2 linked regions of the Drosophila melanogaster genome follow. The protein of the gene in region 1 interacts with the protein of each later gene in a pairwise test. Each region holds a gene or a part of one and is shown on either strand. Other genes may lie near its edges. The genes, in order: Nin and ens.

What was found.
Region 2: the proteins of Nin (region 1) and ens interact in a two-hybrid assay, tested with the Drosophila melanogaster proteins (one study listed by BioGRID).

What each region holds. Positions count from the first base shown.
Region 1 is NT_033779.5:5,276,883-5,280,805, forward strand, and holds the start of Nin (ninein), read right to left. Parts: upstream 1,667-3,923; 5' UTR 1,308-1,666; coding exon 1,052-1,307; intron 460-1,051; exon of another isoform or gene 444-459; coding exon of another isoform or gene 365-443; intron 299-364; coding exon 54-298; intron 1-53. Other genes in the region: Bub1 kinase, read left to right, coding at 2,478-3,389, 3,446-3,923. UniProt on the Drosophila melanogaster protein: Required for the positioning and anchorage of the microtubule minus-ends in various cells.
Region 2 is NT_037436.4:4,132,441-4,136,363, forward strand, and holds the start of ens (ensconsin), read right to left. Parts: upstream 2,111-3,923; 5' UTR 2,063-2,110; coding exon 2,014-2,062; intron 1,383-2,013; coding exon 1,329-1,382; intron 1,217-1,328; coding exon 1,109-1,216; intron 1-1,108. Other genes in the region: RfC4 (replication factor C subunit 4), read right to left, coding at 2,496-3,326, 3,379-3,543.

The sequences.
Region 1 (3,923 bases):
ATAACCAGAAGTTGTATCGCCACTTCGTACGTGACTTGACAAACGACACTCACCTGAACTCCCAGCTCATCGCATCCGTTGAGGCTTCGCTGATTTTGCTGCTGCTGCAACTGGTCCTCGTCCGTATTGTCCGAGTCCGTGACGGATAACTCGTAGATTCCCTGCTGTGGCCTAGACCGGCGACCGTATTTCTTGGTGCCCACGACGAGTTTGGGTGAAACCTCGCGATCGGAAGACTCCGGCGGACTCTCGATGTATGTGTTGTTTAGCGGCTCATCCGTAATCACCAGTGAACGCTCTGGAAGATTCAATAGATATAAGTTAGCAGAGAACTGGAAGAGTTGTATGGATCTTAGGTGGCTACCAAAACGAGCGGCTAGCTTCTCAATTATCGGATCTGTTAACTGACCGCCGGATCGGCGGTAATACAATCGTGTTCCCATTTTGATTTAGACTAAACTGCCCAGGTGAATGTGTCGCGTATTTATACAGGACATTGTAACCATCTACCTGATAAGGATCATGCAGGATCAGGTAGTCGAGAACAGTTGGGAGTCGTAAAAAAGTGTCAATTGCATCTATGATTTTATGATCGCCAGCTGCCGCCGTGCTAATCCGCGTGCTGATTATGATATTCGTACCCTAAGGTGTCCTAAATTTGCCCAGAAGTTTCCAAATCAGATAAGCGGAGGTTTGAAGTAAATGTGCATAATCCTTGCAAATTAGCACGTAGATGGTAGCACTTCTTTGAGTATTAAGTAATGGCTTTGTTCATCTATAGACTGCTAGAAATGTGTTCATTAGATCAGTGTTTTATTAATAGGGAAACCCACACGGTTCCAAATCCGTGTCAAAATTGAATTACTATCTCTAATAAGTGGCTGGCAAACATTCCGTAATTATCTGATGTTGCTTGATGGGTAATTAAAGCGCAATTACAGATAAAACGTATGTTGTTTTATGCGAACCTGTCGCGTTAGCTTATAGCAAATATTATCTTTATACTATATAAGTTAATCTATAGCGTGATCGATTCTTTGTGCTATCTCACCAATGAAACCCGATGACGTATTACCATCGAACTCGGAGCCCAGGAAGTTGAGTAGCGCCTCCTTGAACTGGCCAAAGGACACGCCCAGCTGATGGCTGCCGCCCAGGCTGGCGATCAGTGCGGATCCCTGATCCCGGAGCTCCAGCAGTGAGCAGAGCTTCAGCAGGGACTTCTCGTCCAGAAGTCCACACTGCGTCTCGCAGCTGCGGAACATTTGGTAGAGCTTCTGCTCGTACGGATCGGCGGATACCTCCATTATCCGTAACCCGGGGAATTCAGTTTGCTGCCGTTCCAATCGATCGGCTGCTCAATTGCGTTTTCACTTCGCTTTTTTTTTCTTGGGGGGAAAATCCACAAACGCAGTCAGGGGTCGAAAACAAGAAAAGTGAAATATCGGGGTCTATGTGCGTGGGTGGCGGGGGAATCACGCGTGTTTTTTGGACAGCAGGCTGTTTGAGGGGTTACTAATACTACTAATCTATGATATGCACTTCGGAACGCAACATAAACACTCGCGGGTTTGCGGTTTTTTTGGGAATAGCGTAATTTCTAGCGAGTTGATAAAAAACAATAATGCAGTAATAGCGAGCACGGTGGCGCGCTCTGGAGGGCATTAAGCAAACTTGCATCGGAGGTGGCACTATCGTGGACCATTGTTCCTATCGTTATACAACTATCGTTTAGGATTTGAATATTTATATTACAAAATAAATAGATAACAAGGGAGAACGTAATGCCATATAATAAATCGCTAACTTTACTTGGAAAGCTTCAGCTCCAACCAGACCCCTTATTAAAGTAGAAAACTTGACATAAATTGAAATCATCCGATTAACATGTTGTTTTCCAATAATAGATTATAATTATACAAAAAGTATATCAAATAGGAAGTGCTTCATAGCACACACACATATATTGTGCGTCATTCAAACTACAATAATTTAAAACAAAGAACCCTATAGTTTTATTAATAAAATTGAACTTTGGCAACAAATAAATAAATAAAAAGTAAAGTTGTACAAAAAATTGCTTTTGTTTAAAAATTCCCAACAACACGTTTCTATCGCACTATCGATAACCTTGTGCATAGCCATCGTCAACAGTGACAGCCAATGGTTCTATCGATTGTTTGGCAGCACTAATAAATTCCATTTGCAAGCTGAAAAGCAAGAAAAAATACAAAATATCTTTGAGCATTGCAAACTGTTGAAAAATCCAACTGAAAATCATGTGTATGTGCCACCAGTGACAGCCGAAGACGCCGAGGGATTAACTGAGTTAGTGGACCCTAACCAGTCCAATCGGCAAGGGGCACTACATTCCGCAATCCGAGACTTTTTGGTGGTGACCCGTAGAAACCACAGTCTCGCATTCATTTGTTTGCATTACGGCGCAGCGGGATCAGAGGATTCCGCGTCCGGCCGAGATGGCCATGCACTCGTACATGCGCCAGGGATCGGGTTCCGGAGGAGGAGCAGGAGCAGTCGCAGCTGGAGCACCGCCGCTGGCCAGCCCGGACGAGATGCACGGCTTCCTGAACGACAAGCAGGCTTGGGAGCACGCCATATCCCTGTACCAGGGTCCTGATCCACTCGATCATTGGTACAACTACATCTGCTGGTACGAGAATCACGCGCAAAGCGATCCGGAGCTAAAGTACCGCGAAACTCTGGAGCGCTGCCTGACGGTGTATGAGCACAATGACTACTATCGCCAGGATGTCCGTTTGGTGCGGCTGTGGCTGAAGTACATAGCCATGCAAACGGATCCACTCCATTTCTACCAGGTGCTTTTTCAGCGAGGAACTGGTCGCCAGGTGGCCGCCTTCTACATTGGATGGGCTGCCTATTACGAGTCTCGCGAGGAGTATAAGGATGCGGAGGCGGTGTTTAACTTGGCCTTCCAGGAGAAGGCGCAGAGCACTTCCGAGCTGCAGCACGCCCACACCAAGTTCGCCTATGCCAGGTCTCTTTTTTACCAGCGGCAACAGCAGCAACAACAGCAACAACAGCAGCACCAGCAACATCCCCCGCAGGATGCACTGCAGCAACTCACGAACTATGCACAGCAGCAGATGCCACAGAGCTATAATCAACACCGTCCCCAGCCATATCAGCAGAATGTCTATCAGCAATATCATCCGCAGGCGCAGGCACATCAAGCCCCACAGCCTCATCAGCCGGCGCCACAACAGCAACTGCCGCCAGAACAACAGGTCCCCTATCAGACACACTACCAGGAGCGGCCGCGCTATGAACCACATCCTGCAACTCAGTCCCCAACAGCAATACCACCATCCCAAGTCCAGCAACAATCGCATTATGCTCCTGTGGCAGAGGTGAGCATTAAATTTAATATCAAAGCTACTTGATAAATACTCCTTTTTTGTTTTAGTCCCATTATGCACCAGCCCAACAGTCACAGTTGCCGCCGCAACAAACTACAGTACCGCAGTTGCACGCACAGCAGCCGCAGCAGCAACAAAACGGCAACGGCAATCCACCTCCTCAACAAAGTCCTCCGGTGACAAATGAAGTGGCTGGCCTACGCTTGCCGCGCAATTTCCACGCCTACGGGCGCAACAACCATGAGACATGGAAGCCGGCTCTAACGCTTGAAGAGCCTGATGATCCCTCGCGCGTGTGCCACTATGCCAAGCAGTTGGTATATCCACCAGGAGCAGGCGTCGAGTACAGTCCCGAAGAGATACTAGCCCGCAAGTTTAAGCAGTTAATGGATCAAAAAGCCAAGCCATCGGAGCCGCCAGAACAAGAACAGCAAACTCTTTATGATTCCTACGAAACTGAGAAATCTTACTATATGACTGCTGTGGATGGAGCTCTTTACGGGCAGAACACCAGCAGTGGTCAGG
Region 2 (3,923 bases), on another chromosome or scaffold:
CTGACGTCATCGACAATGTACACTCGCATTTTGTGGGTCAATTGACAAACTAGCAGCAGCAACAATAACAAATATGGCACAAATACTCGGACAACAATACCGCCGCCCCCGCTTCAAATTTGCCTATGTGCAAAATGGGCGAACAACAAAAAAAACAAATGATAAAAGGAAAATAGAAAGCAAATTGCTAATGCAGGCGCACATTTTGTTCTATTGAAATGACATTGAGGCGGAAAAATGCAAAAAAAAAATTAACAATAATAACAATAATATTGGTAGCATGCGGTTTGGCTGCCAAAGTCTGCATAATCGAACTGGGAACTGGTTCTTATCGCCTTATCGGTTAAGATATTTTTGGAATTCCATGACGTAAGCAAGACGACAAAGGAACAACTGCAAGTCAATCTTTTTGCCAGTTACAGGTGCGAAAATATCTTGCAAATGGGAAATTATCAGCTGTCAAGGTCGCAGGCAAAATTGCTGGATTTTAACCCACTGTATGCCATATTTACTTGTGTTTTTGGAAAGCCAAAAACATTGCAATTGATTTTTCGCTTGATAAAATCCATTTCCTTTTTGCTCTCGTAATAACATGTAGTTCAATTTAACTTAACAAACTTTGAGAACATTGTTATTAAGATCAAATTCCCAATAACTTAATCATTCCTTGTTTTGCATTCTCACAATGATTTAGTCAAATATGACTATACATATTTTTAAAATTTGTATAATTAGAGTTGGACTTGCCATCTAAAATCAAGCTAGACCTTAAGTGTAGATAACATTTTGATCTTTTAGGTGTTAATTGAAGATGCTTTGAGTTTTTAATAACCCACTTTAGTGGGTAACATCTAGACAGTTTAGAAACTACAGTGATTTAAAGCGTGTCACTGGGTGAGAATAGATAAGAAGATTTTCTTATTAGAAAAACAGCTATGAAAGACTTGCAATAGACCAGTGACGGTTAAAATCGCGATAAGGCGGACTATGGGTCTTATTTGTTAGTGAGATCATGCGGCAAACATTCGGAGCATTCGTTTTGGAGGCGGAACAGAACGGGGCGTGGCTGTGGAAGACTTTGGAGCAGCCTGAATGGAATGCCAACTACCTTGAGAGTCGTCTTCACTGGCGGAGATTTGACCGCCCACCTGGGCGAACCAATGCAAGGTTGCGCCGGCGCTGCAGCCCGAGATCTTGGCAGGTGCGAATGCGTGGGCTGTGGTTCGAGTTATAGGTGATGTTAAAGCGATTACATATAGTGCGTATGTGTGATATACATTGGTGCCGATTTTATGTAACTCGCAAGATAATCCGCATAGAAGGCTTACCTTTTCGCTCGGCGCTGCCCTCGCGACTTTCGGGTCGCTTGGCTGTGTTTTCCACTGCAAAAGAAGTACGAGAAAAATGGACGATTGAGTTTCGCTGCGATTTTCCGGAGTTTTACACGGACTTTTGGCTTTCGTGTGTGGGGAAAATCAATTGCCGTTGCGTTTTGGCAAAAAGGAAAGGTGACAAGAAGGCGAAAGAGCGAGGAAGGAGGGGGACACAAAAACACACACACACACGCACGAACACAAGCGCACGGCAGCAGCTGCGATGACGAAGCGAGAGAGACAGTGAGAAGTACGAGAAAATAATGTATGTTTCCCTCTCTCTTGTTCCAACGACTTTTCCGACTGGAACTTATTTATAAACTCAAAACTCCGGTTCGGAATCGGGGAACTCGAAATACATATATCCCCCATTTCTAGGGGGCAGACACTTTTGGCTTCTCGGCTTTTCTCTTCTTTTCTTTTCTGTGCCTCTCGCCTCGCTGTTTTTTTTCTTCGTTTTTCTCTCTTCACTCCGTTTTTGCTTTTTGGCCGTGGTGTGAGTGCCGTTTTGCTGCGCAGTCGACCAGCACTTTTTGGCCACTGAAAACGCCCCGAAAACGCGTAGATCCTGGCCGATTTTCGACGCGGGGGCATTCGTCCTTCGATTTCGCACTCTCAGCGGGTTGTTTTCAATGCGTACCTTCTGGATTAGTCGAAATATTTCCGTGTTGGCCCCCAAGACTCGCCATATTTCACTTTACTTTAGCGCTGCAAACAGTGTGGCCAGCTCTGTAGTGCTGCGATAATCTACTTAATGCGACCGTACTGTTGTATAGTGGTGTGCTCTACGAAAATACTAGAAATGTTAACTAACGTATTGGTTTTTATGTATAAAAACTAACTCCGGTTTTATGTATAAAAACTAATGATCATTCGGTCCTATAAATACATTATCTAATGTTGTATGATAATTTCAGCTTCCGATACCAAGGGCGCAATAATTAACACTCCATTAGGGACGATATGCTCTAAGTGCGCTGACATAGAAATTAACATTAATCTGTTAACTAACGGTGCCCAGTTTAAAATTTAGGTACACTTGTATTCAATACTGAAAAGGACTTATTTATCTCCAATTTTATTTATCTCTGAGATTTCTTTAACCTATAGTTCATATTAAATCTAATGCTTCTCGGCGGCAATGCAGAGTTTGGCCAGAAGGGCGGTGAGCTGCAGCAGCGAGTTGATACCATCGATAATCTTCATGTGGGTGATTCCGATCTCACGGATAAAGTCCAGCTTCAAATGCTCATCGATGTTGATGCGCTTGCAGACACGGAATATGTTCGCAATGATGTCCTCCGGCGAGTATCCCAGCTTCCACAGCTTGGCCAGGATTTTGTAGGCCTTGTGTATGTCGTTAGCAGCGCAATGGTGGATCATCTCCTCTAGGAGCTTTGGGTGCGGCTCGTCGCAGACCTTAAAGACGTTCTCAGCGGTGATGTCGCCAAATCCCTGAGCGGTGGACTGCAGGTTGTTCAGTCCCTGTCGCATATCACCTTGGGCAGTGAATACGATGGCCTCAAGTCCGTCCTCCGTGTAGTTAAGCTTCTCCCACTTGGCCACCTCGATGAGCTTGGCCAGAACTTGCGCATCGGACAGCTTGGTGAATCGTAGCATGGCGCAGCGGGACTGGATAGGCTCTATGATCTTCTCGCTGGTGTTGCAGGCCAGGGCAAAACGAGTGGTGCTGCTGTAGATCTCCATGGTCCGGCGCAGTGCCTGCTGGGCACCCTCCGTCATGCTGTCCGCCTCGTCCAGAATCACAATCTTGTGCCTGCCCCGCGGCAGTGTCACCTTCTGCTGAGCAAACATCTTGATCTTGTTGCGGACCACATCGATTCCTCGTTCATTGGAGGCATTCAGCTCGAGGACAGCCTCCTTGTAGCTGTCTCCCAGGAGAATCCTGGCCAGACACTGGATGGTGGTTGTCTTGCCCACGCCAGGAGGACCCTATAGATCACAATTAGTGGCGCCAAACTAATTTTACTCCTCACAAACTCACAGCAATAATAATATTGGGTGCATTTCCCTGGGTGGCGAATACGGATAGTCTTGCTACGGTATCCTCATTGCCCACTATCTCCTTGAACTTCACGGGGCGGTACTTCTCAATCCACGGCAAGTGACTGCGCTTGTCGTCCGCCGTTTTCTCTGGTTCTTCCGGCATTTTATGTGCAATTTCACAAATTCGCACAAACAAATTGAAGCGTGGGGCTGTAGTGTGGCCGTTTCTTGGGCGCCAAAACACAACGGTTAGGCCTGGTATTTTTTACATTTATCGATTTCTTAGCAACACCGATAGGTCCATAAAGGTAATTATTTGAAATTCAAATATAAAAAAAAAACGTTCAGATCATAAAATATTCTGTAAATGAGGAAAAGAACACACGCTCAACAATATATAAAAAGAATATGTTTTAAGCAAACATTAGTTAAAAATTCTTGTTTACAATGTAAACGTTAGATAGATGAGGATTTCAAATCAGGTTAAAAAAAACTAAAAAAGTTAAATTTAATTTAAGACCAAATAGTTTTTTTTTTTCGTTA